3 linked regions of the Arabidopsis thaliana genome follow. The protein of the gene in region 2 binds, or shares a complex with, the protein of the main gene of each other region. Links are inferred from orthologs where the notes say so. Each region holds a gene or a part of one and is shown on either strand. Other genes may lie near its edges. A codon is read from its position in the direction of its gene.

Region 1 (4,024 bases), about 24 Mb from region 2:
ATCCTCCAGCCGGTTATCCACCGCCAGGATATGCTCAGGGATACCCTGCACAAGGTTATCCTCCGCCGCAGTACTCTCAAGCTCCGCAGCAGAAGCAAAACGCCGGTATGCTTGAAGGATGGTACGTTCTTGATCCCATCTTTTCTACTTTATATTAACTTTATTTTGGTTTCTTGTTTTGCTTTGTATTTAGGTTTTAGTGGAATAATACTGTATTAGTTAATATATGTCTTTGCTCTGTTCATAAATACGTCACAGTTTGGCTGCGCTCTGTTGTTGCTGTCTCTTGGATGCATGTTTCTGATCGGAGGATAATTATATACGTTGCCTCAGTCAACTTTTATTTCCTCATATATGTTATGTAATGTTCAACAATCTTTCTTCTGTTGTTATCTTCTTTCAATTCGAATTTTGGTATCTTATGTTTTATTGACTCCGACCATAATTATCTCTCTCTTTCATAATCCAATCACACGAATTCGAAATAAACCAGTAAAGAAGTGATCAGAAATCTTGATGAAATATCAAAGGAGTGTGTTTCATCATCATCATCATATTATTGTAATAAGTAAACATAGCCATGGATAATGGTTCTTTTCAACCAAAAAGCTCACAGATGCTAAAATAACAAAGAAACATGAGAATTAATATCAAATGAGGTTTCTTCTTTTGCTCGAGAAGAATTGGAAGAAGGTGTAACATCAGTTTTCTGGTTGAGGATTGCCTTTCCACTTGAAGTTGTCCGAGTAAGACTTGACCTGCAGTTAGATGTTAGATGATGAACAATCATGGGGTTAGGTTAAAACTTCAATCTAAAGAATGTTCTACCAAATAAATCAAAGGAATGAAAGAGACTATCGCTCGTCAAACTAGTAGCTAAATCTTAAACTAGAGGCACCAAACCATTTCTGATGAAGCAATATGAGTTAAGTTAAAGAATATCCTATCTATTTAACACAACATTCAAGGGTCGTTCCAGTGAATCTCCAGCTTTAGGGTTAAACACCTCATATGAGTAGAGCTCGTAAGTCATAATGCGGCATTAGCAAAAAGATAGTTACTAACCTTCAATAATGGTGTGTTGGGCTTCTTGACCTGCAATGATTTAGATGTAAGTTTTTCAGTACTCTGAATTCTATATTAAGGGATCTTAAAACAGAACCATCACAATGGTGATCGAAAAAAAAAAAAAACAGAACCATCACATTCTCATAAAATGTGAGTGAATGCGACCAGAAAAAAAAATGAGCTAAAAACGAAGAAGGAAACAACGTACCTTATAATCCCAACCATGACGCTCAGCAAAAGACTTAGCAGCTTCTTCAGAATCAAAAGCAAGAGCAGAGTCACCAACATTAGCATAGGGGTCACCTGTAGAAGTCCATCCCATCAACGGATTCTCCCACCTAGAAACATATGAATGCCATAGATAAGTGATGTCAATCGAAATCTAATCAACAAGTGATGGACTAGTACTAGTCACAAGCAGAAGACTTAAGTTTTGAAAAGATAGGAATTTTAAGGATAAGAATCATATTAGGACATAAAATGTGAGGAAAAGAGGATTATCTTAATCAAAAAGTAGCATACTTTAAGGTGGAGACGAAGTTAATCTTCCATTTTCCGAGTTTTCCAGATCCTGACTGGGTAGCTGTTCTAGCAGGTGAGTATATTATCACCTGTTAATTTCCAAATTCAATACTCTTAGCACTATTCGATTGACCAAAATCAAATCAAGAACACGATGTAGCTCAATTAAGACGATTCTCTGATCACGAACCCTAATTTTCTAAACTGAATTCGTAAGAAATCGAATGCTTATTTACCTTGCGAGAAAGATGCTCCTCTGGGATTCCGGAGACCTTACCGATCTCACCACGCTTGTAATCCGACTCAACCACCGCGTCAGTAGCGAAAGGTCGAGCAACACGCCGGAGCGTCGCCGCTATACGGATAGTCCTTTGAGTAGTAGCACAAAGCGCCATCGTCAATTAGAGAAATCTGGAAAATTGCTGAGCTTTTTGATTTCGCTTTGGTTTCTTCTACTTCTGTAGATTTTAGAAAGAAAAAAAAAACACATATTTCAATCTAGCCATCAAAATTTTATAAATTACGCTTTCGGTCTTACTATTATATGAAAAATCTTTAATAGCCCCTAAACTATCTGTGAGATTTAACAACGATAAATTTTATAGATACATTATTTTTAAAAAATAGTACTAGTATATTTTATTCAGCTTGATCCTATTCATTTAGTTGGTAGGTTTTATTGTGTAATTTGATAAACTTGAGGCAAATTTGTGAATGTGGAGAAATATAGGGTTACATCTTCCTTAGCTTGAATACAAAAGAAAAGCTCAAGTTTGTTTCTCGTTTCTATGGATATTCTTCTTCCTTATGCTAGCCTCTCTGGTCTTCTTCTTCTTCGTTCGTTTCAGCGAATCACATTTGATCTATGACACATCTATACAAGGAATTAGCTTTCATCATCAAGTCTCTCTCTCGAAAACTCTCCTTTGGTTTCGTTTGATCTGGCATGCTTCTTCTCCTCCTTCCTCCTTTCTGCTTCCTTCTCTGAATTTTCCATTTTTGTTTTTAATTTTCTACGATCGCCCCATTTGAATTTGGTTGATAATTTAGCTATCGCTTTAGATTGATGGCTGTATTTCCAAATTCCTGTTGATTTGCGACGTTGTTAATGGGCTTTGATCCTCTTTTTTTGGTTCGAGATTGCTCGAATCACTCATTTTTTTGTTGAATTGAGCTTTGGGGCGTATCTAATTTCTTTGGATTTGTGTAGTTACATTTTTATGTTGTGGCTTTGTGTATCTGCTGGATTTAGATGACCAAAATTTTGTATTGGATAAGAAATGTTCAACAATGGCTTTGATGTGGTTAAGTTTCGTACGATTTAACAGATTCTAATGTTAGCGTTCACATCTATTGGCAGAGAAAAGAAGAAATTCAAATATTGATAACTGTGGATGGGTGCACCAAAGCAGAAGTGGACACCGGAAGAAGAAGCAGCTCTTAAAGCTGGAGTTCTTAAGCATGGGACTGGGAAGTGGCGTACCATACTCTCGGATACTGAGTTTAGTTTAATCCTTAAGTCTCGCTCTAATGTTGATCTTAAGGTAATACAATATAATATGCTTTTTGGAGGTTGTGATCGCGTGTTTCGGACTAATCTTGATAGTTCAAGGCATAACAGGACAAATGGAGAAATATAAGCGTGACAGCTTTATGGGGTTCAAGGAAGAAGGCTAAACTTGCGCTTAAGAGGACTCCACCAGGTACTAAACAGGATGATAACAACACAGCTCTTACCATTGTGGCTTTGACTAATGATGATGAACGTGCAAAACCAACTTCCCCCGGAGGTTCTGGTGGTGGATCACCACGCACTTGTGCTTCTAAGAGATCAATTACAAGGTTTGGTTCCCTGACTTATGCACCACATAACGATTTTCTTGAGTTCATAAAGATTTGATCTTGCGCTATTGTCTGTTTTTGTAGTTTGGATAAGATCATCTTTGAGGCAATTACCAACTTGAGGGAACTACGCGGTTCTGACAGAACATCAATCTTTCTGTATATAGAGGTATTTCTACCATTGGGATTACATGTTTGGTTGGGGTTTGTTGCATACTTACTTAGTAGCTGTTAAATTTCAGGAGAATTTCAAGACTCCACCGAATATGAAAAGGCATGTCGCAGTACGATTAAAGCATTTATCATCGAATGGAACATTAGTTAAGGTAAACACACAACTTTTGATTCAAGATTCATGATCACTAACACTTCATTACTCTCAGAATTTTCAAAAATACTTACTTGGTGATTTCTCACTTTCAGATAAAGCACAAGTACAGGTTTTCTTCTAATTTTATTCCCGCAGGTGCAAGACAGAAGGCTCCTCAACTCTTTCTGGAAGGAAACAACAAGAAAGACCCAACAAAACCCGAGGAGAACGGTGCCAACAGTCTCACTAAATTCCGAGTAGACGGTGAATTATATATGATAA
Region 2 (5,149 bases):
TTATTTGTACGGTGATTATAAAAGGCAATGAAATACTATATCAAACTATTTGTAAACATTGTTCAAACTTAAGCTCATATCGAAAATCGAAAACAACAAAGATGCTAATTGCCTATATGACGACTTTCCGAGTTATGCAAATATGTGATTATGTAATTTCATCATACAACAACTTGTTGATTCAGTAGTTCTATCGATTAAGTAAAGAAATTGGAAAAGGGGGGAAAAAGGTGGGAGAGGTGGACAAAGAAGTTAGGGAAGATGTTGACGTCTTATCCATAAATATCCTCCAAAAATAATATCCAATCAGACCGGTCCCCATCACCCTCACAGGTCTTCCTTGCCTTCATTTATCTCTTTTCCTTTTTCTCTCTTTCTCCATTTCAATGCGAATATATATATCACTTCCATTTCATTTTATTCTTTAAGTTATTCCATTTAGAAATTTCTAGTTTATAGTTTTAAGATGATTTCTACTTTGTTTGATTTTACGAAATCAAGTTGGGACTAATCACATTTTGGTTATACATTATCCAAAAAAACTAATTTTGGACTATCATATCAAGTTGTATACAGAACAATGATATACCAATTTATATCCTAGAGATATTTTTCAGAAAATGCCAAAAAGAAACATTGATTTATAATTTATTTGCTATGTGAACTACTTATAAACCCAAAAAGGAGCATTCTTTATTTCAAACATGAAAAGGGTTTCTTTGGTTGTTCCCAAAATGTGCTTTCATACTCGAATAAACATAACAAGCAAACAATAAAGAAAGTAGAGTAATGCAAAAGAGCAAATCGCGCTCTTTCTGATACAACTTTAAGAGAGTTTTAACATTAACCATTCAAACAAATTACATTACCTTCTTCTCCTTCTGAAGTAGCTTTGCATCCCAAAACCGTTACTAGTTGTTCATTCAGATTTTATTTCCATGGAGAATAATAGCAAACTCCCTGCAAAAACATCAATTTTGTAAGACAGGGATAGAGCAGAAAGATAGTTACGGAAACTAACTGTTCATTACGGCTCAAGTTCTTGAAATGCCCAAAGAAATTAGATACAGAGCAGTCTACCTTGTCACAAATACATTCTAAAAGGCTGCGTAAACTCTAGACCTCAGCTTTTAAGTTTGCAACAGAAGATTAAAAGAGCAAGGACTGGAGATGCAAACCTCTGGTTAACAAGGTACTTAAGCAGCAGCCTGTAGCAACTCCCTTTCAGCGCGTTCCCTGATCCTTCTCTCGAGCTCTGGCCTAAAGTGTCTTATCAGACCTTGCACAGGCCATGCAGCTGCATCACCCAATGCACAGATTGTGTGTCCTTCGATCTGTTTGGTTACCTCCTGCAGCATATCAATCTCTTCCAGCTTTGCATTGCCAACTTTCATTCTCTCCATGATCATCCAAAGCCAACCTGTTCCCTCTCTGCAAGGAGTGCACTGCCCACAGCTTTCATGCTTGTAGAAGTAAGAGAGCCTTGCAATTGCATCCACAACATCGGTTGATTTATCCATCACAATGACTGCTGCAGTTCCTAACCCTGATTGGACAGCCTTGAGCGCATCGAAATCCATCAGCACATCCTCGCAAATGTTCTTAGGGATCAGAGGAACAGATGAACCACCAGGGATGATAGCAAGTAGATTGTCCCATCCACCCCTAACACCTCCACAATGCCTCTCAATCAGTTCCTTGAGAGGTATACTCATCTCCTCTTCCACCGTGCATGGCTTGTTTACATGGCCTGATATACAAAAGAGCTTTGTCCCAGCGTTATTCTTCCTACCGAAACTAGAAAACCACTCAGGTCCACGCCTTAAAATGGTAGGCGAAACAGCCACTGTTTCCACATTGGTAACAGTTGTGGGACAACCATATAAACCAGCATTAGCAGGGAACGGAGGCTTCAACCTAGGTTTTCCTTGCTTCCCTTCAAGGCTTTCAAGAAGCGCAGTCTCTTCACCACAAATGTACGCACCAGCACCAAAGTGGATATAAACTTCAAAATCATAACCAGAACCACATGCATTCTTCCCCAAGAGACCAGCTGCATACGCTTCTCTTCTAGCCTTCTCTAGATTCAAACGCTCATTCACATATTCACCCCTGATGTAAATATACGCAGCACTAGCTCTCATTCCAACACCAGCAATCAAACACCCTTCCAACAATTTGTGAGGGTCATGACGCATGATCTCCCTATCTTTACAAGTTCCAGGCTCACTCTCATCAGCATTGACAACCAAATAGGAGGGACGGCCATCAGAAACTTTAGGCATAAAGGACCACTTAAGACCAGAAGGGAAACCAGCACCACCACGTCCACGAAGTCCAGATTTCTTCATTTCATTGACAATCCAATCAGTACCCTTGAGCACCAAATCTTTGGTCCTATGCCAATCACCTCTCTTCATCGCGCCTTTGAGAAATGGGTCATGCAGACCATAGAGATTAGTAAAAATCCGATCTTCATCCTTGAGACCACCGAAATGAGTCTTTTCCGGAGGCGGAGGAGGTGGAGGAGGCTGTGGAGTGGTGGAAGTGGATGCAGCTTGAGTGCTGAATGATCTCAAAGCTGGAGTCAGTCTGTTACTTTCCTTCCAAATGGACACTGCCCTTTGCAAGCCAAGAATCCCCCTCACGGGTGCCTATCATCAAATCCATATAACAAAGACGGTAAATGGCAAATTAACTCAAAGTAACACATGATCTACTTTAAAAGCATACAAAAAATTGAAGCACGAAATCAGTAAAATTGATGATACAGGAGTTAAGTGTCGCGTATAAAATCGCTGTTTCAACATTAGGAAACCAAACAAAACCAACAAAAGCAGGTGAATAAACCCAATCGCTCTAAATCGATAAGCTCGACCAGATCAATCATAACCCGCTAGATCTATGTATAAGAAGATGCCGCATTTTGAAATTGTTCAGCTGAATTCAAGATAAATACACTCAAAGTCTTAATTTTGAAAACCCTAACAAATGCGATCGAGAAGAAAATCGTATAACCTAGAAATGAAAACGGAGATCATCAAAGTGAGTGCGCGAAAAGAGATTGCTTACCATGGAGACGAAAATTTCCGAGAAGTAGTCTTTCAGAGAGATACTGGTCTTTGTTCCTGAAGCGTGAAGGCCACAAGAATGGGAGCTTGAACAGACACGGAGACGAAGTTATAATCACTGCCCACCTGAGACCGACGAACTCGAGATAAGCTGTTTGGTTTAGATTACTCCGCGTCTTCTTGACGTTAAGCTTCTCTCTATTTTATGGGCCTCTCTTGGTCCAGGCCCAAATATTCTGGTCCGGTATGAAACTATCCTAAACTTCGATAAACGTAAAATATGTGGGTCGAATATGAAATAATTATAAAGTATTGGGAACAATTAGCATTTAGAAACATAAGAGGCGTCTTTTTATAATTTTCTCAGTTCCCGTAAGACGATCCAACTGCTACAGGCCGGCGATTAGCAAAGGCGGTGGTTCGATAGAGAGAGGAAGAGATTGAAGCGATTTTCACTCAGTTTTCATCAGATCGTCTCGGTGATTCTAGGGTTCATTGGTCTCGTTTTGTTCGGTGACTGCTTGAGTTTCACGTTTTTGGTGAGTTCCGTCTATCTATTATTATCTTAATATTTTGATGATTCAGGCTCATGGTTTGTGAAATTTGCTCTAATTTATTCCAGGAAATAATCAACATAAGCGAATTCTTGTGTTTGGCTTTAATTGAACCCTGAATTTAGATGATAACAATATTTCTGATGGTTGGTTCATTGTATTTAGGTTTCGATTTCTTATGGGAGATTCCTCGGTTTCGACAAGTTCATGGGCTGTCATTGAATCTGCTAATAGGTTTCAGGTATAACTCATTTCTGGATGCATCTCTTCTATTTTGTGCTGCATTTAACCTATTAACATTTTGTTTACTGTTCAGTGGTAGGAAACTTTTGGGTCTGTTTCTAGTTGTGAATTGAATAGACTACAAGAAGTAAGCAGAACTGAATGTGCATTCCTTTTGTTTTTATTGACAATTGTGAGTTAACATGTTCAGGTGTCGAGCGTTATGGGTGAGTCCTCTGGATCAAGCAGTTCATTGGCTGCTATAAATTCGTCCAACATTGGGTTTCAGCTCCTAAAGAAGCATGGCTGGAAGGAAGGCACTGGTCTTGGAATCGCTGAACAGGGTATATTGGTGCCTCTACAAGCAGAGCCAAAACATAACAAACGAGGAGTGGGAGCTAAACAACCAGCTAAGAGAAAAGTGGCTCAGCCTCAGGCTAAGGTCTTGTTTCTTAAAACCCTTACATGCGATAGCCTTTAAATCTGAAAATAGCTAATGATGAAGAAGTGTTCAGGCATTGATAAAGAGTCTCATCTGATTTTATTTTTTGAAAGTCTGCATCAGCGACACTTCATATCTCAATAGTGCTGGACTTGATTTTTGGCTTATCACGTTGCCATTAGCTTTTATGTTTCATTTGTTTTCAAGTTAGGCATCGAAACTTATCTTTTCTTTACTAAAATTTTCAGGATGAAGAAGTCTCAAAGCAGAGTAAGAAACTTTCGAAGAAAATGCGGAAGATGATGGAGCACGAAAAACATTTACAGGAAAAAGAATTTGAACGAGCCTTCTTTAGGGAGTTCTGGCCCGATAATGTATAACTAGGTTTTATTCTTTTACTTCTTATTGACCTGAATGTTCCAAAAGCTTCTGTATTTACTGCAAATTTAGAATAACTCTGTTCTATTGCCTTATCAATGAAGAAAAATAGTTATAGAATCATGCGCTCAACCTTATACCTTTAGAAAATGGGAAAAGAAAATGAAGTTAATGCAGACACTTCAAGTAAAGGTTTTTGTTAGCAAGTTTCTAAAGTGTATGTTCATGTGCCTTGCATTGGTACCCATGCATTTAGCATGACCAAATCACTTTATATTGTGAACTAAATTTGGGATAATAATCCGATTTAACATGGGAGTAACAAAAAATTCTAGCTTGTGTGGGTAATTAATCCATTTGTTATTATGTCTGCTGTCTGCTGAATTCACTTTTTCTTCTTGTTAAAAACCATTTGATGATCGTTTATAGTTAAAATAAATGGGCCGAGTAAAAAAGGCCCATTAATGACCCCTTCAAATAAA
Region 3 (5,067 bases), on a different chromosome or scaffold from region 2:
GATCAAAAGGCCATCGAGTTAATAGTGTCTACTTACCAGGTACTGTATGTTTCTCAGAAAATACTGATATATATTTTCTATCTGTAAACGGACTCTGATGCCACGTTCTCTGTCTCTATAGGCTGCTGTGCTTCTACTCTTTAACACAACTGACAAGTTAAGTTACACTGAGATCTTGGCTCAACTGAACCTAAGCCATGAAGATCTAGTTAGGTTGCTTCATTCCTTGTCATGTGCTAAGTACAAGATACTCCTTAAGGAGCCAAACACCAAGACTGTCTCCCAGAATGATGCCTTTGAGTTCAACTCCAAATTCACCGATAGAATGCGCAGAATCAAGGTTTGTGACGTTAATAGTAATACTCAAAAGTCTGCAAGTTTATGTCATGTTTTACATATTGTTAATAACTAACATCAACTTGGGTGATTTGCGTCACAGATCCCTCTTCCCCCAGTTGATGAAAGGAAGAAAGTCGTTGAAGATGTCGATAAAGACAGAAGATATGCAATTGATGCTGCCATTGTCAGGATCATGAAGAGCAGGAAAGTATTGGGACATCAACAACTTGTTTCTGAGTGTGTTGAGCAACTTAGCCGAATGTTCAAGGTAAATTATACATATAATTATATTTATACAGAGACATTTGAAGATGCACGTGGTGATGAAACTCATTGGATTTGTGATGTTTGTTGCAGCCTGATATCAAAGCGATCAAGAAGCGTATGGAGGATTTAATAACCAGAGATTATTTGGAGAGGGACAAGGAGAATCCTAACATGTTTAGGTACTTGGCTTAGGGCAAAAAAACAACAACTATGGAAGTGGTTGGCTCATGAAAGGAATCTGCTTGTATATTTAGAAGTCCATATGGAGACTGTCCTAAAACAAATTTATCGCTTCATTTTCGCTATTTTTCTCTTTTAAAAAATATTCGGTCTGTGCTTTTTTTTTGGGATGCAAATTTGCCTTGTGGATTTTTGTTTCTTAAATATTGAATGGAGATGGAGAAATGGCCTTAATGAATGAATCTCTGCTTTCTAATATATTTATCCTTGATCATATTATTTAAGTTTTATGTATCTCTGTGTTATATTGACGGATGGGAAAGTCGTAACAAATAATATGAGATTTCTTATAATCGAACGCTAATGAGACAAAGATGAACCGACGGAAGGTGCCTTCCTCAATCGCCGAACATTAAAAATCATTGTAATCATCTACGTCATTAGCTATAGTCCACCAGAACCGTAATAGTTTCTGCTTAGGACCAATGTCTTATATTTTAAGCCGTTTTTCTGTTGTATGATGATCTGAAATATTATTGGGATACAAAGACGGGTATGTTAAGGTTAATAACAATTTTGAACGGGTTAATGGTGGAGCTGGTGGATTATATTACTTGATTCCAATGTGCTTTTTTCTTTCTTTTTTGGGTTAATATGAATTATGAACGGATCATCAAAGACGATATTTGGAGCCTACACAGAGAATGATATATACGACATGGAGAAATTCTGTTCATATATGTTTTGAGGTGCGGAGTCATTTTACTCCATCGAGCAAATGTTTCTCACTTTTTATTTGCTTGAGATTCTGTTAAACAAACAAAGAATCATGCCATTGCACTATGATGAAAAAGCTGCGAGGAGATGTGCAAATTATAAGAATCAGCAAATTCCAACGGGCTTCAAGTATTACATGTATGGGCCTTTAATTAATAAAATGGGCCTTTAAAGCTACTCGTATGTATCAGTCCTAAACCAAAAGTAATAGACCAATAATGAATTAAAGTCAGGCTTATTTTAGCAGGCCCATAGAGGCTATAGTCAATCCTGCGCCAGGTGATAGTGAGATACCGAGTCTAGCTCCTTGGTTTCTCTGCTTCTCCTTCTCTCTCAGATCAAAAAAAACCTTCGTGTGCGTCTCTCGTCCTCTAAATTGTCGAAAATGCTGGCTAGGCTCGCTGCGAAGCGTCTTCTCGAGATCCGTCAAGTTTTCCGTCAACCAACCTCTCAGGTATTCTCTAATTCCTTGCTTCCTCTCAGCTTCTCTCCGGTCGTTTCCCGATCTCATTCTCCGTTTTGGTCATTTCTATCTACAGGTGACTCGTAGCTTATCGACGGCCTTAAACTACGTGAGTGTTGGATATTCTATCTGATCTATGCTTCAATTTTGTCTAATTTTATCCGAAATTAATTGTAATTTGATTTTTGTTGTTGTTGTTGTTTTGATTACTTATAGCATCTGGATTCTCCTGATAACAAACCCGATCTTCCATGGGAGTTTTCAGAGGCTAACCAATCTAAGGTCAGTGAATAAAATCGCTTCTTAATGTGATAATGACGAAAATTTACAGTTTTAGTGAACGCATTGGGGATTTTTATCCAGTACGGATTCGAATTCGTTTTTGTGATGTTTACAGAATATCTAGGGAATTGTGTGACATGTTCGTAATGGTGGAATTAATTTATACTCTTTCGTGAAAATGTTGGAATCTTTAGCCCTCGTTCCCTAATCTTTAGCCCTTTGTTTGACCCTAGTTATAACTAGTCCCTGTCTCCTGATTATGAATTATGGTTCTCTTAGTTAGCATTCTACCAAAGGATATTAAAAGACAAAGACTGGGATTTTCTGATATTTTTGATTGCTTATTTGTTGTTACATATTTAGAATCGGCTATTCTGGAACTGATTTAAGGGAGAGACTTAGAGTGAACGACCCAAATGGCCAACAGATTTGAATCTGCTAGTGTGGCAGAAAGACTGTCCAGAAATTAGTAAACCGGTTTCATTGTAGTTTAAATCCTAATACTTTCTTGTGCATTTAGTTCCAGTTTACTGTATCTTTCATTTCTGGCTACAGTAATCTTGCATTAACGGTGAAATCGATTTCCGCATGCATCCAGACTTACTGAATTGTTATGTCCAAAATGTGTAGGTTAAGGAGATTCTCTCTTACTATCCATCCAATTACAAGCAGTCCGCAGTTATTCCTCTCCTAGATCTTGCACAACAGCAGAATGGAGGCTGGCTCCCTGTTTCAGCAATGAATGCGGTATGTCTTCTAAGATTTTTTTGTTCGATTTTCTCTGTTAAGACTTAATTTTATGTACTTCTTAAGTTCTTTTTTGGAATACAACATTCATTGATATGATTTTACCGTCATAACAATGCAACAAACTTTTGCAGGTTGCTAAAGTTATAGAAGTTGCCCCTATCCGTGTTTATGAGGTTGCAACATTTTACTCAATGTTCAACAGAGCAAAGGTAAGAAGTACTTTCTACCCCTAAACTCAAGTCTCTACTGTACTCAATGAAAGACGCATTGCAGGCTCATTTTTCTTTTGCTCTTACAGGTTGGAAAGTATCACCTTCTAGTTTGTGGCACAACACCTTGCATGATCCGTGGTTCACGAGACATCGAATCAGCTTTGCTAGACCATTTGGGAGTGAAACGCGGTGGTAAAGCTCTATGTGCTTCCTTTCATAACCAAAATCATATGGAGGTGATGATCAGTCATAACGATCTTTGGTCTTAATGTTTTTTGTGCAGAGGTCACAAAGGATGGTTTGTTCTCTGTTGGAGAGATGGAGTGCATGGTATGGATTTTGCGTCACCTCAATTCATTAATCCATGCAGAACAATAACCAAGATTAGTACTTTCACATGAAAAGATTCAATGCAGATCTAATGTGTTTGGTTTTGTTACAGGGATGTTGTGTTAATGCACCCATGATCACTGTGGCTGACTATTCCAATGGATCAGAAGGATATACATATAACTATTTCGTATGTCAAATCTCGTTGAACAATTTTTCTTTTTCTCCTGCATTATCCTATTGTTTATGTGGGTTACGTCGGAAGAGTGAAATCATACTTACACTGTCTTATGCTACAATACACAGGAAGATGTTACACCTGAGAAAGTCGTAGAAATTGTTGAAAAGCTGAGAAAAGGAGAAAAGCCACCGGTAAGACATTAACAACCCATTGCATTTGGATACTTTCCTGATGTTCTTCTCTTACTATTGCATTACATCGGTGGGGGAAAACAATCTGGTTTCGGTTAACTTTCCAAATTGGAGAACGTAGCCTCTAAGCCAAAATCCAAATCCAAAATCCAAATCCAACTTCTTATAATGTTAATCTTTGTTTTTCAGCATGGAACTCAGAACCCGAAGAGGATCAAGTGTGGACCAGAAGGAGGGAATAAGACACTGCTTGGTGAGCCTAAGCCACCACAATTCCGTGATCTTGATGCATGCTAAAGCTAAGTTCTGTTTGCCGCAGTTTTATGTGGTTCAATAACGCAAAGGCTATAGCGATGTATGTTTGACGCCTGTACCGCATCAAATTGAGTTTGCATACTCTTTGTAGTCTTCTTGGTTTTGGAATTTAGACCCATTTTAAACAAATTGCCAAATCATCTTCGTTTATTATTATCTCACTCTAAGATTCATGTGAAATTGTAATAAAAACAAAACTTTTATCTGTTACTTCAAAAGACACAAGATTTTCCAAACTTTACTCAAAAAATAAATTTGGCAGAATGATTTAATGAATCACATGAAATAATCATATCAATAACTTTAATTCTTCGATGAGTTTTTTTTTTGGCTATATTTTTCCAAAACTAACAATATTAATAAAAGTTGTATTTTGTCTTCACTAATCAATGCAAAATGTAAACATGCAAGTTTAAATTGATACATGTTCTGTCCAAAGTGTATATATCTTAGCATTTGAGATTTGGAAGTTAAAATTGTACACGTACCACTAAAAAAAAGAAGCACAATTCATGGTACTTTCTCCTAAAATATTTGCTTTATGTTTCTAGTGTTATCAAACAAAGGATGGTTACTAGATCAAACTAATAATATTATTTGATAATTAATTATACTACTCCAAAGTCATACAAAATAAATAATAATACAAGGGGTGACAAATTACAAATACTTGTTTTTTCTTCAATTTGAACACAACTCAACAAGGTCCCACAACTTCCCACTACTACTACTACTAATAAATAACACCCTTCAAGCTCCTTCCTCAACCTCCCACTAAAG

The links. Proteins that work in one complex are often made in the same cells at the same time.
Region 1: the proteins of CI51 (region 2) and FRO1 are in contact, whole or in part, in a cryo-EM structure (PDB 8BED), measured with the Arabidopsis thaliana proteins. Residues at the interface, in NP_196470.1 of Arabidopsis thaliana: Gly131 (codon at 2,267), Arg132 (codon at 2,264), Pro133 (codon at 2,261), Glu237 (codon at 1,949), Arg247 (codon at 1,919), Leu248 (codon at 1,916), Pro250 (codon at 1,910), Pro251 (codon at 1,907), Tyr259 (codon at 1,883), Gly260 (codon at 1,880), Cys261 (codon at 1,877); in NP_201560.1 of Arabidopsis thaliana: Tyr140 (codon at 749), Ser141 (codon at 746), Phe144 (codon at 737), Trp146 (codon at 731).
Region 3: the proteins of CI51 (region 2) and AT4G02580 are in contact, whole or in part, in a cryo-EM structure (PDB 9F5X), measured with the Chlamydomonas reinhardtii proteins. The link is inferred for Arabidopsis thaliana from one-to-one orthologs. Residues at the interface, in XP_001702590.1 of Chlamydomonas reinhardtii: Asp58, Glu59, Arg61, Phe63, Gln64, Asn65, Ile66, Tyr67, Arg69, His70, Met78, Ser79, Arg80, Gly81, Tyr84, Met85, Glu88, Ile89, Lys92, Trp96, Gln100, Tyr133, Glu142, Pro143, Gly144, Thr145, Cys146, Arg149, Glu150, Arg153; in XP_001698508.1 of Chlamydomonas reinhardtii: Thr42, Arg79, Tyr80, Pro81, Tyr84, Gln86, Ser87, Ile89, Ile90, Pro91, Asp94, Val95, Glu125, Val126, Phe129, Tyr130, Thr131, Met132, Phe133, Gly147, Thr148, Thr149, Pro150, Arg152, Leu153, Gln154, Glu184, Met185, Glu186, Cys187.

The regions. Positions count from the first base shown.
Region 1 is NC_003076.8:26,956,034-26,960,057, reverse strand, and holds FRO1 (NADH-ubiquinone oxidoreductase-like protein), read right to left. Parts: upstream 2,144-4,024; 5' UTR 1,986-2,143; coding exon 1,827-1,985; intron 1,680-1,826; coding exon 1,591-1,679; intron 1,407-1,590; coding exon 1,277-1,406; intron 1,096-1,276; coding exon 1,066-1,095; intron 759-1,065; coding exon 702-758; 3' UTR 501-701; downstream 1-500. Other genes in the region: WIH1 (cysteine-rich TM module stress tolerance protein), read left to right, coding at 1-121, 259-304; TRB2 (Homeodomain-like/winged-helix DNA-binding family protein), read left to right, coding at 2,985-3,134, 3,212-3,432, 3,517-3,601, 3,675-3,758, 3,856-4,024.
Region 2 is NC_003076.8:2,758,652-2,763,800, forward strand, and holds CI51 (51 kDa subunit of complex I), read right to left. Parts: upstream 3,369-5,149; 5' UTR 3,076-3,368; coding exon 3,073-3,075; intron 2,655-3,072; coding exon 1,197-2,654; 3' UTR 1,179-1,196; intron 961-1,178; 3' UTR 666-960; downstream 1-665. Other genes in the region: AT5G08535 (D111/G-patch domain-containing protein), read left to right, coding at 3,804-3,866, 4,059-4,289, 4,538-4,669. UniProt on the Arabidopsis thaliana protein: Core subunit of the mitochondrial membrane respiratory chain NADH dehydrogenase (Complex I) that is believed to belong to the minimal assembly required for catalysis. Complex I functions in the transfer of electrons from NADH to the respiratory chain.
Region 3 is NC_003075.7:1,132,638-1,137,704, forward strand, and holds AT4G02580 (NADH-ubiquinone oxidoreductase 24 kDa subunit), read left to right. Parts: upstream 1-1,791; 5' UTR 1,792-1,948; coding exon 1,949-2,017; intron 2,018-2,102; coding exon 2,103-2,135; intron 2,136-2,242; coding exon 2,243-2,308; intron 2,309-2,938; coding exon 2,939-3,055; intron 3,056-3,189; coding exon 3,190-3,267; intron 3,268-3,356; coding exon 3,357-3,462; intron 3,463-3,553; coding exon 3,554-3,600; intron 3,601-3,712; coding exon 3,713-3,790; intron 3,791-3,906; coding exon 3,907-3,972; intron 3,973-4,161; coding exon 4,162-4,269; 3' UTR 4,270-4,567; downstream 4,568-5,067. Other genes in the region: CUL1 (cullin 1), read left to right, coding at 1-39, 122-340, 440-607, 697-798. UniProt on the Arabidopsis thaliana protein: Core subunit of the mitochondrial membrane respiratory chain NADH dehydrogenase (Complex I) that is believed to belong to the minimal assembly required for catalysis. Complex I functions in the transfer of electrons from NADH to the respiratory chain.